Elephas maximus indicus: one gene and its partner. The main gene of each other region encodes a partner of the protein of the gene in region 2 in a complex. Links are inferred from orthologs where the notes say so. Each region holds a gene or a part of one and is shown on either strand. Other genes may lie near its edges.

What was found.
Region 1: EMC2 (region 2) and EMC9 share a complex: the UniProt entries of both Homo sapiens proteins name them as parts of the ER membrane protein complex. The link is inferred for Elephas maximus indicus from reciprocal best matches to the Homo sapiens genes EMC2 and EMC9.

What each region holds. Positions count from the first base shown.
Region 1 is NC_064828.1:35,498,063-35,505,981, forward strand, and holds EMC9 (ER membrane protein complex subunit 9), read right to left. Parts: upstream 2,896-7,919; 5' UTR 2,770-2,895; intron 2,626-2,769; 5' UTR 2,614-2,625; coding exon 2,416-2,613; intron 2,275-2,415; coding exon 2,198-2,274; intron 2,100-2,197; coding exon 2,040-2,099; intron 1,225-2,039; coding exon 1,155-1,224; intron 1,071-1,154; coding exon 976-1,070; intron 822-975; coding exon 641-821; 3' UTR 591-640; downstream 1-590. Other genes in the region: PSME1 (proteasome activator complex subunit 1), read left to right, coding at 1-17, 95-181, 365-445; PSME2 (proteasome activator complex subunit 2), read right to left, coding at 4,374-4,454, 4,569-4,655, 4,963-5,017, 5,168-5,235, 5,387-5,455, 6,044-6,141, 6,229-6,259, 6,364-6,450 and 3 more. UniProt on the Homo sapiens protein: Part of the endoplasmic reticulum membrane protein complex (EMC) that enables the energy-independent insertion into endoplasmic reticulum membranes of newly synthesized membrane proteins.
Region 2 is NC_064833.1:33,787,420-33,795,052, forward strand, and holds the start of EMC2 (ER membrane protein complex subunit 2), read right to left. Parts: upstream 3,007-7,633; 5' UTR 2,961-3,006; coding exon 2,921-2,960; intron 1-2,920. UniProt on the Homo sapiens protein: Part of the endoplasmic reticulum membrane protein complex (EMC) that enables the energy-independent insertion into endoplasmic reticulum membranes of newly synthesized membrane proteins.

The DNA of each region.
Region 1 (7,919 bases), on a different chromosome or scaffold from region 2:
CCAAGCAACCCCATGTGGTAGGTAGCACAGGTCGGGATATACGGGGGGATGGACACACTTGGATGAAGTCAGGCTGACCCCAAGTCTCCCTCAGGGTGATTATCGGCAGCTGGTGCATGAGCTGGATGAGGCGGAGTACCGGGACATCCGTCTGAGGATCATGGAGATCCGCAATGCTTACGTGAGGAGGCGAGGGCAGCGCAGGGCAGGGGTGGGCAGAGGCAGCTTTCCCAGGCCACCCGCTCCCAGACCCTGCAGGCTGGGGGTAAAGGGTGACAAAGCGTGGCCTCTTCACAAGGCTGGAAATGGGGCACAGAGCGACTGGCACCTACAGCTGACCCCCCACTCCTCCCTGGCCCTGTAGGCAGTGCTATATGACATCATCCTGAAGAACTTCGAAAAACTCAAGAAGCCCAGGGGAGAAACAAAGGGGATGATTTATTGAGGGCCTCTGCTCTCATTTTTGTGATGAGTGCAACAGAGACCCTCCTGCCTTTTATCGGGGACTCCAGACTTTCCCCCCATTTTTCTCCTGTTGAGGTTTCTCTCTCACCTTGCCATCTAGGCACAATAAATATAATCATACTGTTACCCATCAGCCCAAGTCTCTTTATTGGATCCTGGCCCCACTGACCCTGGCTCAAGCATTTTCATTAGTGGGATCAATCCACTGGGTGATTTGGGTATTCAGCTGCTGGTTGGTCCAGTCCTGCCGGATGTCATCAAGGTGTGAGTCAAAGTCCACAAGGTGCTGGTGGGCCCGGCCCTCCAGAAGTGCTCCTACCATCTGCCGCGACTCTTCCCAGTCCCTCCACATCACTCTGAAATAGTAACCACCATGGAAGTCAAACAGTAGGCGATGGGGCCAGATGCAGAACTTGGCAGAAGTTAGGTCTAGGGAAGGACTTTTGGGGCAGGACAGAGGGAACCCAGGAACTTTGGACTTCCAAGAAGTGGAGGGAGTAGGGCACTCACAAGTTCTTGTCTTTGGGGGCCCAGCGGAGACCATGGTTCTCCAGGACAATGACTGGGGGCACACGAGGTTGAGGCACCAGTTTCTGATTATCTAGCTGGTGGACAAAGACAAGCGAGTTTCAAAGATCCCACCCACGATGTTCTCTCCGACTCCCCCAACCCTGAATCCCAAGGCTCACCATGATGAGTACTGCATCAGGGAAGAATTCTGCAATTCGCCCAGCAATTTTCAAGGCCAGGGGCCCAGGGCTGTGTAGAGGAAAGATCAGAGGAATGAGGAACTGGCTGGACAGGCCCCATCATCTGAGCTGGGTCTCCCAGATATGGGTGCAGTTGTGACCTTTCCTTGTAGCTGGGTAGGGGCTGGGGGTGGGGTTAGCTCAGTTTGATGTACAACTGCATGATGTTTGAATGCTATGATGGGAAACAGACACTGTTGGTGAGAATGAATATCAAAACTGCTTAATATACATGTACTGACCCAGAAATTTCACTTACAAAGAATCTACTATAATAATAAGACAGTGTATGGCTGCTAACCAAAAGGTCTGCAGTTGGAATCCACCAGCCGCTCCTTAGAAACCCTAGAGTGCAGTTCTACTGTCTTACAGGGTTGCTATGAGTTGTAATCCACTCGATGGCAATAGGTTTTTTTTTTTTTTTGCTTTTTGTAATAGCAAAAAATTGGAAGCCACCTCAATGCTTAATGTAAAGCACTAAATAAATTATAGACATTCATATGCATACACTATAGCTGTTAGGGTAAGGTAGATCTTGGTGTAGAGATGGAAAGATGTCATTTATTTATTATGCAGGGGAACAAATTACAAAACACTACAATCATTTGATCCATTTATATGATTGATAAATGTAATTATCTCTACCTATCTTATCTATATGTATATGATTTCCTTTTTATTAAGTTGCTGGTTGCATTTCCCCTCTGTTCGTTCAGTAATTGGGAGGCACTCTCATAAAGGAAGTGTTAACCTGTTCTTATTGATACACAGTTGTCCTCCCCACCCCACCCCACCCCCAGCTCCTCCAGAACACTGCTGTCTTACTCATCATTGTATTTCCTCACTCCAGTACCCAGCATAGTGCCAGATGTACAGACTCTGCTCCTAAGTGTTTAAGGAAGGAAAAATAGAAGGAATGACCTTGGCTCTCTTGACTCCCACCCCATAACCCTTTGCCTTCTGCTTTTGGCTACCCAACTCACCTCTGGTCGTCCAGAGCTGCATTGGCATGGTAGTACCCAGCCACCACCAGACCGCCCTGTGCACCCCACACATCCACCTGCCGTGGGAAAGGGGCCATCAGTAACTAAAGCGTGATGCCGGCCCTGTGGGTCCGCACTACCGCAAGGGGCCAGGAATGGGCTTGGGCTAGGGGTTTTGGGGGCATTCGCGGTAGTCGGTTGGCGTCCAGCGGCGGCACCTGGTTGAGGGCGACCTCCAGCATGACGGACAGGGCCAGGTGGCTGTGGAATAGGGGCACACAGTCTGTGAGGCACAGACATTCCCCGGTCCGCGGCGCCGGCGCCAGCAACAGCCCGTTGACAGCAGCGTGCGGGTACCGGGCGGCGTGCAGGCACATCTTCACGTAGGCCCGGGCTGAGATCTCCACCTCCCCCATGGCGAGAGGGGCCTGCCCGGGTACGAAGTAAGCCCAGTTAGTGCCGGTTCCCACGCCACCCTGCGAAGCCCCTAGCTCGTGTCCGCCCAGCTCCCTCCAGCACCCCGGCGCCCTCCTTGACTACCGACACCAACACCTTGGTACCCCTTCGCTTACGTTCGCCCGTGAAGCCGCCTCGGCTCGAAGGCAGCCCGAAGGCTCCCGGAGACCTCGACCCGGGTGCCCGCCCCCGGCCCTGCCCAGAAGGAGGTCCCGATTGCATCCCGCGGTACTGAGCCCCGCCTTCCCCCGCCCCCGGCGGGCGGATGCGGATCAGCGCCTTTTGCCAGTGTTCAGCGCCTGCTGCTCCAAGCCGGACCCGCGGCAAGAGTCCCGCCCATGTGGTGCTCTTTGATAGGCTTAGAGGTTCTCATTTTATCCAATCAGCGGCTTTTGCCTCCATCCAAACTGAAGTTTACAACAATAAACCATTGGTCGGCGCACTTATTGGCTAGGCTAGCCGACTTCCGCTCATGATTGCCGAATGGTTTTGTCTGTTACCTGTGCTGCCCGCCCCCACAAGCCCGGCGGAGCCAACCCGGTAAAGCCCGAGGCCCGCGCAAGATGTTCCGACGCAGTGGTTTTTCAAACATGCAGACGTAGCGGACCTCCTTGCTCCTGTTATGGAATGAGCGGATCTGGACTCCAGACTGACCCTGTCACTTACTTACGAGCCGTGTTACCCTCGAGACTACAGATTATCTGGCCCTTGGTTTCCTTAATGTAATACCAGTTGCCCATGGTGCTTTAAGAATTAAATGAGATAGCGTATGGGGACCGGTTTCCAAACTGTCAAGTACGAGGCAACATTATTATTCCATATTTAAAAACAAGATAAGACCCTGAATTACTGAACAATCCCATGGAGTTTATAGCAAAGACCACAGTAGAGGAACTCTTGCCTCTACCATCTGAACAGGGCTGAATCCTGAACCTAAACCAAAACCAAACCCGGTGCCGTAGGGTTGATTGCGACCCTACAGGACAAAGTAGAACTGCCCCATAGAGTTACCAGGGAGCGCCTGGCGGATTCAAACTGCCAACCCTTTGGTCAGCAGCTGTAGCACTTAACCACTATGCCACCAGGGTTTCGGAATCCTGAAAGGCAGAGATAAATACGGCAATTGGTTAATAAAGGGGAAAAAAAGGACCAAAAGAAAAATCCTATAGATCCATCCTTCCCATAACGCACCGTGTTGTAATTTCCTTCACTACAATGCCTTGGGAACTTTTTTCCCCTTTCCAGTGCTTGAGAAGGGGTTCAACTATTCACCCTTAATTCTCCCAGTGAAACCTCGATCCTCCTTCCAGTTTTGCTCAGTTTTCTTTGATGAGACCAATTCCTTCCTTCATTCTCCAACCACAGCCACAGAACTTTCCCCTTGTCTGTCCAAACCCTGATTATTCCTGTAAGGGTTTTGCCCAAATGCCATCTTTTCCGTGAAGCATTCATGAGACTCCTGGATGGAAATAACTTGTGAAATTCCATAAAGCAGGTTATCTGCATGGCTGTCATGGCATGTAATAGGTTCGCCCTGTTCTTTAGGACTCCTTTAGGACGGGCGTCTGATTCATGTTTGTCTTCCTGGCACCCTCTTCCCTCTATCACATATACGCGCAGTATTTAGACACAGGTGGCACTCAATAAATGCTTTTTGAATGAATGACAAGGACACACAACAGAAGTAATCCAGGTCATTTATTCCTTTCTAGCCCAGGGCTCAGTACATAGATGGCTTCTCTTCACCCTTTGGATTGACAATTTTCTCCAGGTTGCTGCTGATTATATGATAAAGCTCAGCCTAGGAAGAAAGCCAGAAGGGCAGCAGTCAGGTTCTTCTCCTCCCTTCCCCCGCTCCCCCCCTCCCCCCGGCCCACATCACATGCCTCCTCTTAGGGGCTCACTCCATACTCACATAGAAGGTCCTTAAGTCCAGCACCATGGCTCTGAGATCCCTATAGGCTGCCTCATCTCGCTCATGCACCAGGGCCCGGTAATCCATCTGGGATGTGGGAGGCAAAGTTGAGTCAGCATCCTAGGAGGCTGGGACATTAGTCTGGTTTCCTCATATAGGGAATAGGTAACTTGAGAATGAATTCCTTCTCCGCACCAAGAAACAGGATCCCACATGATCAAGCAGAGAAAAGGATCAAGGCTTTTGAAGCCCAAATCAGCTTTTCTAGAGAATGCTTTTGATTAGATGTCCTCTGCACTGGTAAGATCATAAATAAGACAAGGAAATCCACTCCCCCCTTTCCTTCGCACCTCCAGCCAGCCTCAGCTAAAAGGCTGGTGGACTATCCACTTACTACATGGGTCTCCTTGGAGGCCTTGGCCACTGCATCCCCACGTTCTGAGAAGTACCTGCCAGAAGCAAGGGAAGTAACCCCAGGAATGGGTGTTCAAGGAAATACACTCCCTCAGACCCTTCCCAAAGTCCCCCATTGTCCTGCTGGGACAGGACAGTCTTAAGACTCTCAAAGAAATGTTCCTGCAGCCCCCAGCTGCCCTCACTTGGAAATGGTTGTCTGGAAGGCTTCCACCTTGGTCTTGACTGCATTCACCCTCTCCAGCACTTTCTCCTGTGGTGATAAAAGATGAGGGTGGAAAGAAAACACCTCATTTCCTTTCTCCTTCACCAACCATCTCCTTCTTCCTCCTAACTCATGGCTAGATCCTATCCCTCTCCAAGTCTCTCCCCACTCTCAGTGCCCTCACTCACCCATATCTTACCTGGATTGCCACCCCAAAATCATTTCCGTCCTCAATCTTGGGAATCAGATGCTGGATCCATGTGATCACCTAGATTAAGAGGTATCATGTAGGAAGCATTCAACATACCTCGTGCCACTTCTTAAAAATAAAAAAAAAATTTTTTTTTGATAGGTTATATTTAATTGAGTACTTACTATGTGCAGGCACTATGATATGTATTATTTATCTAATTTAGTCTTCACAGAAACCTTCAAGGCATACACATTTGCTATTCCCACTTAAAGGATGAGAAATCTGAGTCACAGTCTAAGTGACTTATTCAAGGTGACCACCTAGGTAAGTGATAAGTCAGGATGTGAATCCAGATAGTCTTTCTCTATGGCCTGAGTGCTTAAACCACTCATATATCATACCACTTCCACTGTGTACCTGGTACACCAGTATGTTCTGAGATGAGAAGTGGGTACAGCATAGTCTCTGACTTCAGGGCACCATTATGATACCACAGGTCTAGCAGAATGAGGAAGAGAACAAAGGGCATCTAAAACTAAGGCACAGAAAGACATTTCCTGTTTTGGGACTAGGTCCCTGAATAAAGGGCTTGCCTCTCTGAAGGAGGCCAGGGTCTGGCCTTGCTTATCTTCTCTTTCCTCTTCTCCGAGCTCCCAGACTTACCAGAATGCATTTCTCTTTGAGAGTCCAGACTTCTGGCTTAACTAGGGCAAGCAGGGCCAGCAGCTTCTCGTTTCCAGGGAGAAAGCCGCACTTAGGGGCTGTGAGAAACAGGAGATGGAGGCCCCTTCTCATTTAGCAGTCAATATGCCATTTTCCACTTCCCTATCTACCCCTTCTTCTCTTACCTTCTTTTTTCTCCTGCTTATCTGTTTCCATCTAAGGCAAAATGGAGGAAAATCACTTTAGAAACCTCATGGAGGCTGGCGTGCCATCGTCTTTATTGGGTTTATGGTCCAATCCCTGCACCCTGAGTACCTCACCTCATCATCCTTGGGTGGGGGGTCTGGGATAGGGATGTCCAGTGGGGCCCGGAGGGAAGTCAGGTCAGTCACACTGAAGGAGTCTTCCTGCATAGAGCTCACTGTCAGAGGCTGCCCAGAGTCTTCCCTCCACTCATCCCACCCACCCTCTGCCTCCCAACCTAGGCTTAGGCCTCACACCATCCTAATGCTCCTACCCACCATTCACAACTGTTCTCTGGGTGCTGAGCCCAGTCATTGGCTAGAGAGGGTGAGCGGATGGAAGAGAGGCCACGGGATGAGGCAGGAAGGGCCCACACTACTCACTTTCAAGAGCTGATTCAGGTATACGATCTTCTGCGGCAAGAATGTGCAGAGGAATTCCTCAGCCTGTGGGTTACATGGCAAGGGTGGGGGCAATCACAGAAGGCGTTCAATGAGATTGAGAAGGAGGGCTGAAAGGACCCTTGGAAATCATTGAGTTCAAGACTTACAACTGAGGAAATGAAGCCCTGAAAAGGTAATGGACTTGCCAAGCTGGTTAAGTGGCTGAACCAAGGTTAACCAAACCAAAACCAAACTCATTGCCATGAAGTTAACTCTGACTCATAGAGACCCTATAGGACAGAGTAGAATGGCCCCATAGGGTTTCCAAGGAGTGGCTGGTGGATTTGAACTGTAGACCTTTTGGTTTGCAGTGGTAGCCCTCAACCACTTCACCACTGAGGTTAGGACTAGGGTATTCTGGCTTTGGGGCCATGGCTTTTCCATCTACACCAAAAGAGGGGAGGGAAAGTGGCAGAAAGAGAGTAGAATCTTAAGAGGGATGAAATTAAAGGCAGAAATCAATAATTAGGAGCTCACTCTGGGTGAAGGCTTCATAAGGGAAGTAGTGCCCAGGTGTAGGGTGGGTTTGCGAGTCACTCTGAGGTTGTGACCCTCAAGTACTGGTTTAAGCTTCTGAGTCAAATCGCTTGAGTCCAGAGACTTACCTCCTGGAAGAGATTTTGCCTGAAGACATCCACCTGCAGAGAGCAGTTCAGGATGCTGGTTAAGTCTCAGTTGCCAAGAATAAGAAAGAGCCCACCACCCTCTCCCGCCAAAAGGGGTGCCCTCCCCTGTGACTCAGGCCTTTCCCACCAGCGGCCAGTTCTTCCTGGGAGCCCCTGGCTCAGTGCAAGCTGGCCAAAGGCCAGGAATCTGGGAATCCCCAGACAGAAGTGAAAGCACTAAAGTGAGGGACTGAGGAAGTTCTCTGGCGTGGCCTTGGTCCTCCGGAGCATCCAGCTTTGCCTTCACCCAAGCGGGCTTCGCGGCCCCTTCCTGGCCTTCCCGGTCCCCCCATTACCTGTTTGCGGGCCTCCCCGCTCAGGCGTACCCCACAAGGCTTGGCCATGCTCCTCCAGTTGCAAGGTCTTCGGTCTCCCGGCTCGCCGCCTGGGCTTTCGCTTTCACTCCCCAGGTCCAGGCCCGCCCCCCTCAGCCCCGCCCCCGTCGTTCTTTCCCCCAACCCCCGGCGGACCGCATACTGAAGGACGCCCCTCAGCCATTCCCCGCCAGAAGCGGCTAGGGGAGGC
Region 2 (7,633 bases):
TGCTCTCAGCTGCTAACCTAAAGGTTGGTGGTTCAAACTCACCCAGTGGCACCACTGGAGAAAGGCCTGGCAATCTGTTTCCAAAAAGATTACAGCCAGGAAAACCCTACGGAGGAGTTCTACTCTATAACACAAACACATGGGGTTGCCACGAGTCAGGATCAACTCAAGGGCAATGAGTTTGGTTTTTTTTTGGTGGGGGGGAGTGATGTGACAATGAACAATATAGGCCTCTTCTTCTAGATGGAGAGACAAACATTTTTAAAACTTACACAACTGGGCAAATGCTTCCAAAGTATGAGAACATGTACTTATAGGATCAGGCCTAGGCTTTTTGTTTGTTTGTTTTCTTTTCTTATTGCTGTTTAGGTTTTGTTTTTCTCTTTTTTCTTTTGCCAGAGAACTGGGAAAGCAGAGTCGATGTCTTAAGTATGTAACCTTTGAGGGAAACTACATGAAATGAAAAGGGTAATGAGGCAAGAGGAGGACAAGAAAGAAAGAACACTCCTGGAATAACACGTGCTCATCCTGAAGCCAAGAAAGAGCACAGCACATTTAGGAAATTCAAGGAAAGCCAATGTAACCAGCTCAGAGAAAGTTGAGAGGGAGAATGTTTTTATGTGCCACCAAGTTGATTCAGACTCTTAAAGAAAAAAAAAAAAAAAAACCATTGCTGTCAAGTTGATTCCAACTCATAGTGACCTTACAGAACAGAGTAGAACTGCCACGTAAAGTTTCCAGGGAGCACCTGGTGGATTCAAACTGCTGACCTATTTGTTAGCGGCCATAGCTCTTAACCTTTGTGCCACCACGGCTCCTCTGACTCATTTGAAAAAAAAACAAACCCATTGCTAATTGAGTCAATACCTATAGAACAGAGTAGAACTGCCCCATCCAATTTCCAAGGAGCAGCTGGTGGATTCAGACACCGGTCTTTTGGTTAGCACCCAAACTCTTAACCACTACACCACCAGGAGTCCTCTGGCTCATAGTGACCTTGTGTATGACAGCGTTGAACTGCTCCATAGGGTTTCCAAGTCTGTAGTGTTTACAGGAGCAGATCACCAGGTCTTTTCTCCCACAGAGCCGCTGGGTGGATTCAAACCTTTTGGTTAGCAGCCAAGTGCTTAACCATTGCACCATCAGAGCTTCTTTAGAGGGAAAATAGCTCGAGATAAAACCGGAGATGTGTGCAGGACCCAAACTACACAGGAGAAGGACATAATCATGTTATTACCTAATAAAAATGTATCCTTTTCTAAAGTATTTAAGAAAGTACTTCAACATGTTTTACGTTTTGTCACTCAACAAACTTGTGAAGTAGTTATTACTTATTCCAAACCTAATTCTTTCACTCCTCTTTAGAATGCCCAAAGGGTAAAGTCCAAGTGGTTTAACCATGTTGTCTGCTGGTAGTTATACCTCTCTCAAGATCCCCTACAATGCTACCATCCTCTAAGAAGCCTATGTTGAACATTCATCAAAGCACTTTCTAAAAATTATGAAACAACTGAAGCATTAAAAATAACAGCCACGTATCCACTACCCAGCTTAAAAAAACATATCCTGACACAACGTATTTACAGGTCTATGTGCTCCATCAAAGGAACTCTGGTGGTGCAGTGGTTAAAGCACTCAGCTGCAAACTGAAGGTCTGCGTTCAAACCCACCAGCCAGCCGCTCCCCAGGAGAAAGACGGGGCAGTTTGCTTCCACAAAGATTTACAGCCTTGGAAACCCTATGGAGCAGCTCTACCCTGTCCTACAGAGTCATTATGAGTAGGAAATCAACAATGGGTTTGAGTTTGGACTTCTCCATCAAACTAGGAAGGTGGGACTGTGTGTCACTTAACCTGGTATATGCAAGATCTAACTCTCCTTACTTAACACCTTTGTTTAACATAACGCATTTCCCCAATACAGGTGGAAACACTGAGGTTCACAGAGTGTTAGAGGCCATAAAGCCAATAAAGCATTGAACTCAGTTCAAGTATAAAAGAATTTTCCCTTCTCTTTCTTTATTTACCACCAAACTTTCAGTTCCCAAGTATTAAACACTCCAAGAAGGCATCTATTGAACAGATTAGTTATTGAAGTCTAATGGAATATGCTAAGTAGGAATCCACTCGAAAGCATACAACAATAAAACTTTTTGAGAAGATAAAATCTCTCTTACAGAGCTGGCCCAAGGTTTGGCTGCTTCTGGATTTTAAAGAACACGCCCCACCTTACATCAACCCAGAAGTCCATCACACTTGAGCAGGTGCCCCTAAGCTAACCAGTTCTTCTCCCCTGCGGAAAAGTAATACCGGTAGGAAGTAAGAAAAAAGTTCTGTTGTGTAAATGTGTTTTGAAAGGTAAAGAAATATGGAAAAAATAAATAAAGGGGGGGTCAAAACCCGGTTTTGAAGAGAGAACGAAACAAAAAGTAAGATTTAGAAGAATCAGATTTGTTCACGGACCTTCTACACCTTTTCTGCACAGACGTGTAACCCTGACACAGCGCTGAGTACAAGGCCTTACAGGCCCTGTATTTCTTGGTTGCAAAGAAGCTACAGCAGCTACTTGTCCTGCCTCCTCCGCGCCGCCCAGCAGCCACCGCAAGAGTGTGACAGCCCCAGCACCACGTCCCCTCCGCCTCACAACAGAAGCTACCCTGAGCCAGTGGATTGGCGCGGAGATAGGCGGACCAGTCTCCAGATGAACACACGCGGCGGGAACGCCGCGGACCCCAGTCCGTGGCCGGGCCAAGGCAGGGGCCCCTCTCAGACTTCAGTCTGGCGCGTCCACTGAGAAACACGGTACCGGAAACAGACATGAGAACTCAACTCTCCGAGAGCAGCGGTACTTCCGAACTGCTTCCCAGAGATTTTGATCTTTCTGCGCACCCTCCCCCGCCCCCACCCCGAGCTCGCAGTTACCTTCCCAGGTGACATCGTAAAGCTCAGAGACTTTCGCCATCTTCACAGAACCTAGAAACAGCGAGGTGAAGGGGCGGGGAGATGCGGTCACGTGACGGACGGCCGGGCGGTAGCGAGTTACGATGCTATTTCTCATTGGCCGAGAGCGCGGAGGGGGCGGGATTCGCCACGCACGTGCACGCGGCTGTGCGGAGAGGCTTTGGGGGAAGGGGCGGAGCAAGATGGACGGTGCCTAGCGCGCCGGAAGTTTGGGAACGCTCGGGAGGCTGACGAGAGCAAAGGCAGCGTTTGGTGGGGGCTTTTTTACCGTGACTTTTAAACAAACACATGGCTTGTAACATCCCTCGGCGGGTTTTCATTTTTCTCTACTTAGGTGTATCCAATCTTCTCACATTCCCCAGTCATGGCCTGCTGCAACATTCTGCCCCGAATCTCTTAATCGTTCCCAGCGTTAAAATAGTGTTACATTCGATTATTTCCTTTTTAATGATCTAGTGAACTGATAAACTCCAAGATTTTCATTAAATCCCTTTGAGGCACTAGGTGGAATTCTGCCTTTGTGCTTTATGTACCTGTGTCTGAGGACTTAATGCACTAGTACCTTCCTGGCCACCTGCACCCTTCGTTAACGCTCGACGTGAATGTAATTGCTCTGCTTGTGATGTCTGCCACTGTAGTTGTGAAGTTCCACAGGAACAGCCTCAGCGTAAGTGTGTAGTAAATAGTAAGTGGATTAAATAATGAATGAATGTTCAAATGATCCTTCATAGCCCTGCACTTCACTTTTCCACCGTTTCCCACCAAACTGAACTGCTTTCTGGAACCTTTGGTCCTATTCTCCCAAGACTAGAGAGAAATGTCTGAATTAGAAGCAAAAGATTTTAGAGTCATAAGCATATGTTTAGTATTTGAAGGTATAAGAATATGATATTGTATAAAAGGAATGTGTAAAGTGAGGAAAGAAGGCTAAAAGTCCCTGTAAAACAGCCACAGTTAAGGGGCAGTGAAGAAATAAGAGGCAATCAGTCAACATTTGAGCAAGGAGAAAGAAAGTAATATCCAGAAAAAAAGTAAATATAAGTGGAACATGCCACAGTTAAGTCATATAAGGACAGAAAATACTGGTGATTTTATAGCCTTGGCTTAAAATCTGAATAAGCTTCATTCTCCCCAGACTAAACAGACCTTTTAAAAAATCTTTCACTCAAAAAAAGTTAAAAATTGTCCACTCAGAAATTCACAGATTCTCCTAACGCATCTATAAAACAACCTGGTGTGATAGAGGAAACCCTGGTGGCATAGCGGTTTAGTGCTATGGCTCCTAACCAAAAGGCAGTTCAGATCCACCAGGCGCTCCTTGGAAACTCTATGGGGCGGTTCTTCTCTGTCCTATGGGATCACTATGAGTCGGAATTGACTCAGCCACAGCGGGTTTAGTATGTGATAGAAAGAAGAACCCTGTGTCAGACAGGCATGAATCCATGATCCACTGCTGTGAGCATATATGACGCTCTGAGCATCAGAGATGCTCGTATATAAAAAGAAGCTAATAACATCTATATAGAAGGAAAGTAAGAGGCATTTGTGGTTCAGTGGCAGAATTTTTGCCTTCCTTATGGGAGACCCGGGTTCAATTCCCGGCCAATGCACCTCATGCACAATCTACATTTCTGTGTCAGTGATCAGTTGTGTTGCTATGATGCTGAACAGGTTTTGGTAGAGCTTCTAGACTAAGAGTGACTAGAAAGAAAGGTCTGGTGAACTACTGCCAAAAATAAACCAGTGAAAACCGTATGGATCACAGCTGTCTGATTCGCAGATGACTGGGCAGAGTATCTTTCCGTTGTGCATGAAGTCATCATGCGTTGTGGGCTGACTGGTGGACACCTAACAACTACAACAAAGAAAATACTTACCTTGTGGACTTGTTATCAAGATTAAAAGAGATACTGCAGCTAAAGTACCTTCATGGCACTTTCACGTAAGTACTAGCCCTGTAGTTATTGCCATTAAGTGGGCTCTCATTCATGGAGACCTTATGTATTGTTGTCAGGTGCCATTGAGTCAGCTCTGACTCATAGCAACCTTATGTGTAACAATGAAACGTTGCCTGATCCTGCATTGTTTCAGCCACTGTGTCAGTCCATCTTGTTGAAGGTCTCCCTCTTTTTTGCTGACCCTCTACCAAGCATGATCCAAAGTAAGTGATACAAAGCCTCACCGTCCTCCCTTCTAACAAGCATTCTGGCTGTGCTTCCTCCAAGACACATTTGTTCATTCTTCTGGCAGTCCATGATATAATCAGTATTCTTCACCAACACTACCATTTGAATGCACCAATTCTTCTGTCTTCTTTTTTCATTTTCCGGCTTTTTCATGCCGTGGAGTCAATTCTGGCATATAGGAAAGGTCTTTTTTGAGCATCCAATAAAAAGTAGTCCCTAGTCAATGCCTATCACATCATTATGGCACTTATTATTATTTGACACCTTTTCTTTGTTTACTTATTTTCTGTGTCTTCTACTACTGTATAAGCTCCTTGACAATACGGACCTTGTCTGTCACTTTAACCTTGGAAGATCAACCCAGAAAAACTCTTGGCACACAGTAAATATTTATTAAATGAATGAATGAAGTAGATAACTAAAAAAGGCAGCTGACGTTAGAGATTATTAAGGATAATATTTCATAGCGCAACACATGAACTCTATTACTTGGTATGAATAGCATGTTTTCTTTTTTATATCCAATGCTTTCCTTCAAATCATATATTCACTGAGTGCAGGGACTATGTCCAGTTTATCTTGTATTGCCTAGCCCCTTACCACAGTATGTGGCATACCAGGACCAAAAACCAAACCCATTGCCGTCAAGTCGATTCCGACTCATAGCAACCCTATAGAACAAAGTAGAACTGCTCCATAGAGTTTCTAAGGAGTGCCTGGTGGATTCTGCAGAATCTGTCCCAACTCATAGCAACCCTATAGGAAAGAGTAAAACTACCGCATAGGGCTTCCGAGGCTGCAGTCTTTAAGGAAGCAGACTACCACATATTTCTCCACGGAGCAAGTGATGGGTTAGAACTGCCAACTTTTTGGCAGCTGAGCTGCTTAACTACTCTGTCACCAGGGCTTCTTACAGTAGCCCTAATGGTCTTAAAAAAAAAGAAAATCAGACCATGGAAGTCCATGGCTAAAGCCCTCAAATGACTCCTGATGACAATAAAAATTTACTCCAGATGCCTTCTTATGGTTTACAGGGCTTTACTGAATCTGACCCCCACTTACTTCTGATTTCACCTCCTGGTAATCTCCTCTCTTCACTGGACTCCAGCCCTTCTCACCTACTTTCTATTCCTCAGCCATGCCAAGTTGTTATCTGCCTTGGTTGTTCCCTTTCCCTGGAATGCTTCTCTCCAGATCTTCAAGTAGCCGTCTTTTTGTCATTCATTTCTCAGTTTGAAACATACCTACTCACGGAGGCAGTTAGCCACACATTCCATTTCCTCCAGCGACTCCTGAGAGCCCTGGTAGCACAATGAGTAAGCCCTTGGCTGCTAACTGAAAGGTCAGTGGTTCTAAGCTGCCAGAAGTTCCTTGGGAGAAAAGACCTGGCAATCTGCTCTCATAAAGATTACAGCTTAGGAAACCCTATAGTGCAGTTCTGCTGTATCCTGTAGGGTTGCTATGAGTTGGAATCACCTTGATAGGGCACAATAGTAACATTCCTGAATCTCTTTAGTGCAATGGGTTTCTCTTATACGTGGCCTTTCTGGCCTTGGGTTTATAATTCTGCCAAAAATGATCGGCTGGACCACAGTTTTACAAGCGATTGGTCAGTATACTATGCAGATAGGGTATGTAAGACAATGCAGTAGGATTAAGTGACCTTGAGGAAATTTGTCCATTACTATGCAGATTAAGTGCAGTGTACCAAGAAGATTGGTCAGCTCATGGTCTGGCTGGGAAGGACATGCCTTGAAATTGAGTATAAGGGCCAGTACCACAGAGGTTGAGGGGGACCTCATTACCACCAAGAAGAGGACTCTGGAGTAGAGCACATCTTTTGGATCTGGGGTCCCTGCACTAAGAACCTTGTAGTCCCAGGAGAGAGAGAGAGCTATAACACAAGACAGTGTAAGATGGCAAGAAATAGTGGCAACCACAGCAGAGCCCAGTGGCAGAGGAACAGCAGCAGCAGTATGAACAGCAAGAACCACGGGGACAACAGATGGCTACAGTGGTGATTGCCAGCCCACAGAGCAAGGCGGCTACAGTGGGCTTGCTGGCCCGTGGAGTGAGAGAAAGCTGAGTGCCTTCAGGCAGGAGCCTTGCTGGCTGAGTGGGATGCCTACAAGCACTTGTCAGTGGAACCAAAAGAGTTGTAACACTTGCCTCTGCAGGGCAGGGGTTTAGAGAGGGCCCACAGGCTGGTACAGCTAAGAGGAGGGTTGTCAGCTGGCATGCTGAGAGAAGGGCTGCTGGTTGGCCTGCTGAAAAAAGGGCCTGTCAAGCTGGTGTGGTCAAAAAAGCAACTGCCTCCTGGCATAGCCAAGAGAAGGGCCTACCTGCTGGCATAGTCAAGAGGAGGGCCTACAGCTGTGATTTAAAAAAGGGCCATTGGCTGGTACAACAGGGAGAAGGATCTGCCTGCAGCATGACCAAGAAGGAGGTGAGAGTCATCCTGTTTGAAAGCTATCCTGATTGACAAACT